Canis lupus familiaris: one gene and its partner. The protein of the gene in region 2 purifies or fractionates together with the protein of the main gene of each other region. This does not show direct contact. Links are inferred from orthologs where the notes say so. Each region holds a gene or a part of one and is shown on either strand. Other genes may lie near its edges. The genes, in order: FKBP5 and CDK15.

Evidence for each region.
Region 1: the proteins of CDK15 (region 2) and FKBP5 purify together in Homo sapiens (affinity purification with mass spectrometry; 3 studies listed by BioGRID and IntAct, counting the BioPlex papers as one, with this or other methods). This does not show direct contact. The link is inferred for Canis lupus familiaris from reciprocal best matches to the Homo sapiens genes CDK15 and FKBP5.

What each region holds. Positions count from the first base shown.
Region 1 is NC_049233.1:4,937,761-4,941,579, forward strand, and holds part of FKBP5 (peptidyl-prolyl cis-trans isomerase FKBP5), read right to left. Parts: intron 2,900-3,819; coding exon 2,785-2,899; intron 1-2,784. UniProt on the Homo sapiens protein: Immunophilin protein with PPIase and co-chaperone activities. Component of unligated steroid receptors heterocomplexes through interaction with heat-shock protein 90 (HSP90).
Region 2 is NC_049258.1:10,705,237-10,709,717, reverse strand, and holds the start of CDK15 (cyclin-dependent kinase 15), read right to left. Parts: upstream 2,917-4,481; 5' UTR 2,385-2,916; coding exon 2,253-2,384; exon of another isoform or gene 2,162-2,252; intron 1,569-2,161; coding exon 1,419-1,568; intron 1,209-1,418; coding exon 1,111-1,208; intron 1-1,110. UniProt on the Homo sapiens protein: Serine/threonine-protein kinase that acts like an antiapoptotic protein that counters TRAIL/TNFSF10-induced apoptosis by inducing phosphorylation of BIRC5 at 'Thr-34'.

The DNA of each region.
Region 1 (3,819 bases), on a different chromosome or scaffold from region 2:
CAATTTGAGCAACAACATAAATAAGATAGCAATGAATAATAACCTACAGAATAAAATAAACTCCCATGAGTCCATACTATTATAAACAACTGAATAAATAGGGGAGGAGAAACCCCTCCTTATAGCAGAATTCCAATTACATTGAAGAAGGAACAATGGAAATAGAAAAATCACCATTAGGCAAATACTACAGTTATAACCGTTGCATACAAAAGTCATCCATGGGGAAAAAAAATCATTCATGGATGCTAAAATCACTGTTAAGGTGTAATGTAAAAGAAGATCTTGGGATCATCCATCTCCTAGTAGTTCTCTCCCAATGAGATACTTAGAAAGGCAAAAATAGGAAATTTTACAAAGCAGAACTTGGCAGATCCCACCTTAACCAAGGGACCCAAGTTACATCATCACTATCACATGTCTCCTGATAATGATTGAACTGAGAAAGGCACACTATTGCTTATATGATATTTTTCCAAAAAATGTGTAACTTCAATCTAATCAGACAAACCCAAACTGAAGTATATTTTATAACCAGACGGTTGTCTTCAAAAGTGCTAAAATAATGAAAATCACAGAAAGACTGATCCAACTGTCTCAGACTGGAGAGACTACATATCACAGTAGATCCTGAATCTGACCATGGACCAGAAAAAGGACATCAGTGTGGGAACTGATGAAACTCACCTAAGATCTGTAGAACAGTTAATAGTATTGCTCCTTGTTAATTTCCTGATTTTGATAAATGTACTGTGGTGAGGGATGATGTGAACATTAGGAAAAGCTTGAAGCATATAAGAAAATTCTCTGTACTAGTTTCACAGTTTGTAAGTTGAAAATTATTTTAAAACAGAAAGTTGAAAATAAAGATTCCCACTGAAAATACTACTAAAAGCAAGATCTGATTTAATTTAGCCTGCCCCAAAGTTAACTCTGCAGTGGTAGCTTTGCGGCATTGTTTATAACTGGGAAAAGTTTTTCCTTTTAATTTGGTTACCAAAATCCTCCAGTTTAGAAATATACATTATAAACTGTTGAATCTGAGGAGTAACTGTAACATAGGGAAAAATCTCCATTTTTGTATATGCCTGAAATTTTTCATTAAAAAATTAAAATGTGTAGTATAGATAATCTTTTCACGTACTTGCTAAAGATAATTTTCTATCATCCTTGTGACTTTCATAAACATTTAGAATTCTATCATGGAATGCTCAGTGCTAGCAGGACCTACAGGATCACTGTAAAGAAAGGAAGCTAAAGCCCAGAGACTCAAGGGTTAGTTAGAGTCCGCTGAAGCCAGAATCCTCTCTCTGACTACTGGTCTATGTATTTCTCTAACATCTGAGCTCCTCTTCGTTTATTCTAAAACTTACCATGAATGATAGCTACCTAAACATTTCAACTGCAATAATATAGTAATACTATTTATAATTGTTTCCACCTAAATGAATAACTCCATTTGAACTAATCTTCCAGACTCCCCAAAATGAAACACGGGTCTCAAATAATAAATACTACAGTAAAGATAAGAAAATCAACCATTCTAGCTTACTGTTCCAAAGGAACTCTAACTTATTTTTATTTTTTTTTAAGATTTTATTTGAGAGCAAGAGAGAGAGAGAGTGAACATGAACAGGGGGAAGGGTAGAAGGAGAGGGAGAAGGAGACTCTCCACTGAGCAGAGAGCCTGATATGGGGCTCAATCCCAGGACCCCAGGATCATGACCTGAGCTGAAAGCAGATGCTCAACTGACTGAGCCACCCAGGCACCCTGGACTCTATTTTAAATAGGCCTTTTATAATAGTTCATATTGCCACCCTTGTTTAGTGCTTTGATTGTTTTCTTAGTGGAAATATTTCTGTTTTCTCACAACTCTCCTTTTTAAAGTATTTCAGCTTTATGAAGCAAATGAATGGCATCTTTCAAACATCTATCCACGCAGAAAGCATCTACCGAACACCAAATGCATGTAAGGCCCTGTAGGTGATGCTGGAAACAAAAAGATGAAGAAAGATTCTGGTCCTCAAGGTGCATACTGGGGAAATGGGTAAACACTGATTACAGCATAAAGTGGCAAGTGATGTACATAATGGTATACAGAACAGGCTCTGGGAGGAACAAAGAGTGACTGGGTATCCCAGTCCTCGACAGTATCTCCTTATTCCCAACACAGCAAATAAAAACACAGAATAGCTTTAAGTCATCCAGTAAATGGCAAAGCAACCTGAACCCAGATTTCCTACACAGAATAGAATGAACACTATTATCAATTATGATCTAACTAAAATAAACTTTTTGACCTTGAGGAAAGCCAGTGAGATGGGTTTGAGAGCTCTGAATGGCATTATAATCTAACTGCTCTGTTTAGAACTCTGTACTCTGTGCAATTTATATAACTTTCCTGAACTCATTTTCCTCATCTGGAGATAATAAATTTTATCTCGTAAGGTTATTTTAAGAAATAAATGAATAAATATGTAAGGCAGCTAATATAGTTGCTGGCACACCAAGGAGTCCATAATAGACTTGGGACTTGATGGATAAGATTACCTTTTCCTCACCTTCTGGGTCTGCAGAAGCTCGCACAGTACCTGGCATGGGCATGCTAGATAAATATTTACCAAATAAAGTCAGTATTAAATAAATGTTGAATTTAAAACTATTCTCGGGCTATATTCAATTGTTTATTGCTATAAATAGATTTTTAGAAAGAAACCTCCCTTTTCTCCCTATAAATGGAACCCAATTTTTAAGGACCAGTTCACTGTCACAGCGATACTTACTTTCTACTGTTGCTCCTTCATTTGGGTTTGAATATCCTTCTCCTTTCTGTTTGATTCTTCGGATAATGCCTCCATCTTCAAATAAATCTTCTCCTTTGAAATCAAGGAGCTCAATCTAGAAAGGAAAAAAAGGATTTGGCTGAGAAAAAACCAAACAGAGCCAATTTAACATACTTAAAAACAAGGGCAACCAATTCTCCTTTCATTTTACAAAATAAAACTCTTTTATATTTATCTATGTATCTCAGTTATTGGAAAAGTAGGAAAAAAAGAACACTGCACTTTCAATACCTGGAAAGAGCCTTCATGTAATGATAATGTCTAGGACTGCATCCTGTGGGACTGCAGTGCAAAGACAGACAGGAAACACTAGGAGGGCTGCCTTGTGGGCAAAAAGCCAGAGCTCCAAGGTGCTGGCCCAGAACTATTTTGTCGGACTCTAAAGGCCACCACCTTTCCAGCCCAGATTCATGGAATTCCCTTTTTAAATGTAAAAATAAATCCTATGAATCAGGCTTATGGACAACTAAAGGTGTTTTTTTTTACCTAATTATGATGTTTCAGGCATTTCCTCCCTTCATTTTTTAAGTCAGATCTTGACAAATATATATATAATTCAATACAGGATGAATAACATTATCACCACCTACAGCTTCTAATGAAGAAGTGAGATCTGTGACAAACAGTAAGCCTGTATAACATGAAAATATCTTACAATGTGGTTTCAGTACATTTCAACACTTACCTCCCACATTTCCAACCTGTTTTCTGGTCAATTTTGGGTATGTTATACTCACACCACTGACCAGAACCTTTATTTCTCAAGCCTGGTGTCTTTTGTTTATTTGGATATAACTTTTCTGTGCCAGAAACACGTTTCTAAGAAAGCATTGGCACACACCCCTTGGGTTTGTGGGAAACAATTCAAGAAGCCAAGCTCCAAAATAAATAAGTCGGATCTGATCCTCAATAGCAAGCTTAGCTCCTTGTTCCACTGCCTGTTGCTTCAGAGCCAGCACTATAGTAGAACAGATG
Region 2 (4,481 bases):
ATATACTTGTACATATATCTCTATGCATTTAAACATGTATTTCCAACATATTTTTTATCTTATTACTCAGGTGAGTTCCTCGAAGGAAATATTTCATATTCTTAATTCCTAAGATAGTCTATGGAATTCAATTAACAATATATTTAAAATGATACTTTATAGTTTCAACATGTATAAATAATAACATGATTGCTAGTATAAATAATACATAGCCTTGCAATATTTATATTACATTTTTTAAATAAACATTTAAACACCGCTGAGGGACACCTGGGTAGCTCAGTGATTGAGTGTCTGCCTTCAGCACAGGTTGTGATCCCAGGGTCCTGGGACCAATCCTCTTATCAGGCTCCCTGAGAGGAGCCTGCCTCTCCCTCTGCCTATGTCTCTGCCTCTCTCTGTGTGTCTCTCATGAATAAAATAAATAAAATCTTAAAAAAAGAAATAAACACTATTGAGACATTATTTTTTTCCACTGGAGTAACATAAATTAAAGAAATCAGACCTCTGACTTTCCCACCTTGACTAAAAAGCAATGAAGTTTGTGGATCTTTCACATATGTTTAGCAAATTTCGTTAGCCAAAATGGGCACCTGGCTTCTGGATTAGCATTATTTTTATCCTCCAGCCATCTTGTATATTTTGCAAGTGTACACATCCCAGGACTAATCATTTTTTGCATATATCCTACATTGTAGAAGCCAACTTTGGTTTCTTCCAAGAAGGTAAAAAAAGGAATGAAGGAGCAAACTCAGGGTTGCCATTACAACCTTCGGCCATTGTGTTTTAGAGAGAAATATGAAAAACCCTTTAGAGATTGCATTTGTGAAGAGTGGTGCTTGTTCTTTGGGTCAGTTGTAGAAAAATTATACTTTGAATTCAATAAAGGAGAGGAAAAGCTGATAAACATCTCAGGGGGCTGATTTTAATTAGGGCAAGAGAAATTTATTTTTCTTGCAAGGCTATTTAAATCATCTCGTCTCTTTGTGTTGACCATAGTATCTTGCACAGGTCCTGAACTTCTGCCGTGTGTCACCTGGCTCTATAATTTTAAATCAAAGGGGGTGGGATCCTCATCTGCAGAGTTTTTCCCAGCTATGAGTCACGTACCTGCTAATCCCCTTGTAAACTGTAGCATAAGAACCTTCACCCAGCTTCTCCAAGTTCAGGTAAGATGAGGCTGCCCCAAAAGGGAGGCTCTTCTTCTGCTTGAGGGGTTTGGGGAGGGGTGAGAGATGGGAGAGAGAGAAAGAACACTTTTCTTTTTTAAGGTGACTTTTATCCCCCAGAGAAATTAGACATTATTGCCAGAGTATACCTGGGAAGGCCCTCTTAGTAACTGCCCTGGAAGTAAGGGCCAACATCCCCAGACAAGTACATATTAAATTCTTCTTCATCCACATCAGCTGTTCACTCACCCACTGAAAACCCTGCCTCAGATCCTCTTCCTGAAAAGAATCACTGTTACTCCGTGGCCTTTTACTCTTGCACTTCCGGGCATGCACAGCCTGAAGTCCCTTGGGGTGAAATGAAGTCATGGAACATGATGCTTCTTTTAGGTCTGTTAGCTAAAGAAAAAGGAAAGTACATGAATAAAATTTATGCAAAGTCAAGACTCAGTGGCTAGCATAAACTGTTTTTTTCTTCATTTGTCTGATTGTCACTCTTCAGATGTTTTTCTAAGCCTCCTACACCCCCCAAAAGCAAGTCCTTTCTTGAAAGCCAGATCCTTAAAAAAGACCATAATGATATCAACTGCAGAAACTCTACATTCTTTCTTCACTTAAAAATACGTCTTAAACACTTCAGTTAATTTAAATCTCTTTGATGGATGGTTTCCAATTTTTCTGTTAGCTCAGCCTTTTTTTTTTTCTTCTCATGTCCTCTTAATTTATCTTTTTTGGGGAATCATCAAGATTTTGAATCCATAGCATACCAATACTGCAGCCTGCTTTCTGAGGCTCAGCTCTGTAATACAGTACTTGAGAGATTACAAGAGAATAATTACTTTCTCAACTTTAAGTCAGCGGAGTTTTGTGCGGCCCAAAGCATCTGATTATTTTTCCCTTTTGGTTTACAAGAACATCCCCAAATTTGATAACAACAGCCATAAATTCTCTGTGACTTTAATAGGATTTTCCTTTTATGGGTTTAGACCTACCGCAGAAAAATCTGACCCTGCTTCAGAAAGGGAGTGTCTGAACTCCTTAGTTTCTCAGCAGAGGGAGAGGCTCCTCCTGCGATGCAAATACCTGGATCGCAGCCTCCGCCGCCGGCCCAGGCTCCGGCACCGTCCCCCGGCCGCTGTGCGCATCGCCTCCCTCCCCGCAGCGGTGGCAGCTGCAGCCAGGCCGGGCAGTCCTTGTACACAGCTCCTGACCCATAATCTTCTAGGTTCAAGGAGAAAACCCGCGCTGGAACCTCTCCCCTCTGCCTCTCCTGTCCTCCTCCACTCCCTCTCTGCCAGAGGTCAGCACCGCTGGAGCTTTCATATGACTCACATGAGGGCTCTGAGCAGAGCAGCCTCATGACTTCAGCAGTTTTTCCTGATCCGTGCAAGAAACTACATCGGAGAGGTGGCCGCCTGCATTCTTATGTGCACAACTGGAAGCAGGACAGCTCATATTGGATGGGATCGATGTTGGCACAAAGTTCTTATTCCAGGCACAGGGTAGTGCCCTTGCCAGACAGGGCTTTTATGAGTTCACACTGCCTAACCATGTCAATGATAATGATAGTCATTAGGCTTCCCTAGAGCTGGAGTGGACGCTTCAGTATTTTCTCCCTGCCTTTCATCTGAAAGCATTTTTTCTTCTCAGACTTTACATTTGCAATCTAGCCAACTTTTTAGTAGTCAAAGAAACCACAGAATCATAGAACGGGAAGATATCTTCATCTCTTTGTCTCCAAGCAAGTGTGCAGTATCTAACAGTCCCAGAGCAATAGTCCTTGGTTCCTTGATTCAAAAAAGATGTAGTGAGCACCTGTGTTTTTACTACACAGGTAATGATGTTACCCAATGGTGAGAGAGGGGTTTGCATGAAATATCTTTTCTTTCTCTCTTCCTCTCACTCTCCCGTTCCTTCCTGCCACATCAATATAATTAATGTTTACCGTAGGGATAGCATGACATGTCAAGGAACTAGCTTGAGCTACTTTGCAGTCTTTGAGCAGAACCTTTTCTCTCATACATTCCTAATATTATTGCCACTATAATGTACTAATCAGAGTGAGACAGAATGTCGGATACACACATACACAAACACGTACAATCAATATCATTAAGGGAAAAATTTAATCATGTCTATTACTACAACAATATTTATGTACATTTGATATCTGAACCTCAAGAGTTTAAAAAAAAAACCTTTCAGGGAATTTAATGATGAGTAGGTATTGAAGTTTTATTTCGAAATTGCCATAAGAGAAGAGATGTAAAACAGGCCAATTTAAAGATTCATTTAAAATAGAGACATTTAGGGATGCCTGTGTGGCTCAGCAGTTGGCTCTGGGTGTGATCCTGGAGCCCTGGGATTGAGTCCCATGTCCGGCTCCCTGCAAGGAGCCTGCTTCTCCCTCTGCCTATGTCTCTGCCTCTCTGTGTCTCTGTGTCTCCCATGAATAAATAAAATAAAAAATAATAATAAGTTAGAGACATTTAGTAAAAAAAAAAAGAAGTGACCAGTTAACTAATACAAAAAAAATTATTTGGTTAAAAACTATTTAACTTTTGACCAACAATCTATGGAAAGTGAAATAAGTTAATTTCCTGGAATATTTAATTCTATTAGAATTTATCATAATTTGATATAATACATTTTATGAGAAATGCTGACTTTTGCCTAAAAGGAAGTTGTGAATTGTATCATACAAAACCCAGATCAGATCTGAGACAGTTTTACTTTATCACCCTCTAATTATCATAAGTTTTAGATTTTTTAAATGGCTAGCATTTTTATTTGCTGGGAGGTTATTCATCTAAGTTACAAGTTGCTTAAAGAGAATAGCCTAATGTTTTTAAGGTTTAAAACACTATGTTTAGATACTAGATGGGCTAGTCAGGGAAATTGTGAAATACCCTTCAGAATTTTCAAAATAAAATAATTTATTGTCCGGTGAAAGTCAAGGAAAAATATTATGTGACTTCTTGAGATATTTTCTAGCTCTATGCCCAAAACAAATTTTTTTTTATCAAATATTCCCAAGTAAGGACAGAAGATTCAGATGATTTCATTTTTTTCTCCAAATTTTTATTTAAATTCCAGTTAGTTAACATGTAGTGTTATATTGGTTTCTGATGTAGAATTTAGTGATTTATCGCTTACATATGACATGCAGTGCTCATCACAAGTGGATTTCATCTTGTATTGTGAATCAGACCCAGTTTATACACAACTCCTGGTTGGCTGGACCTACCTCAACTTCATGGCTGAAGAAGCCTACTATGCTGTGTTGAAGTGTGACCATTGTTACTGCTACCT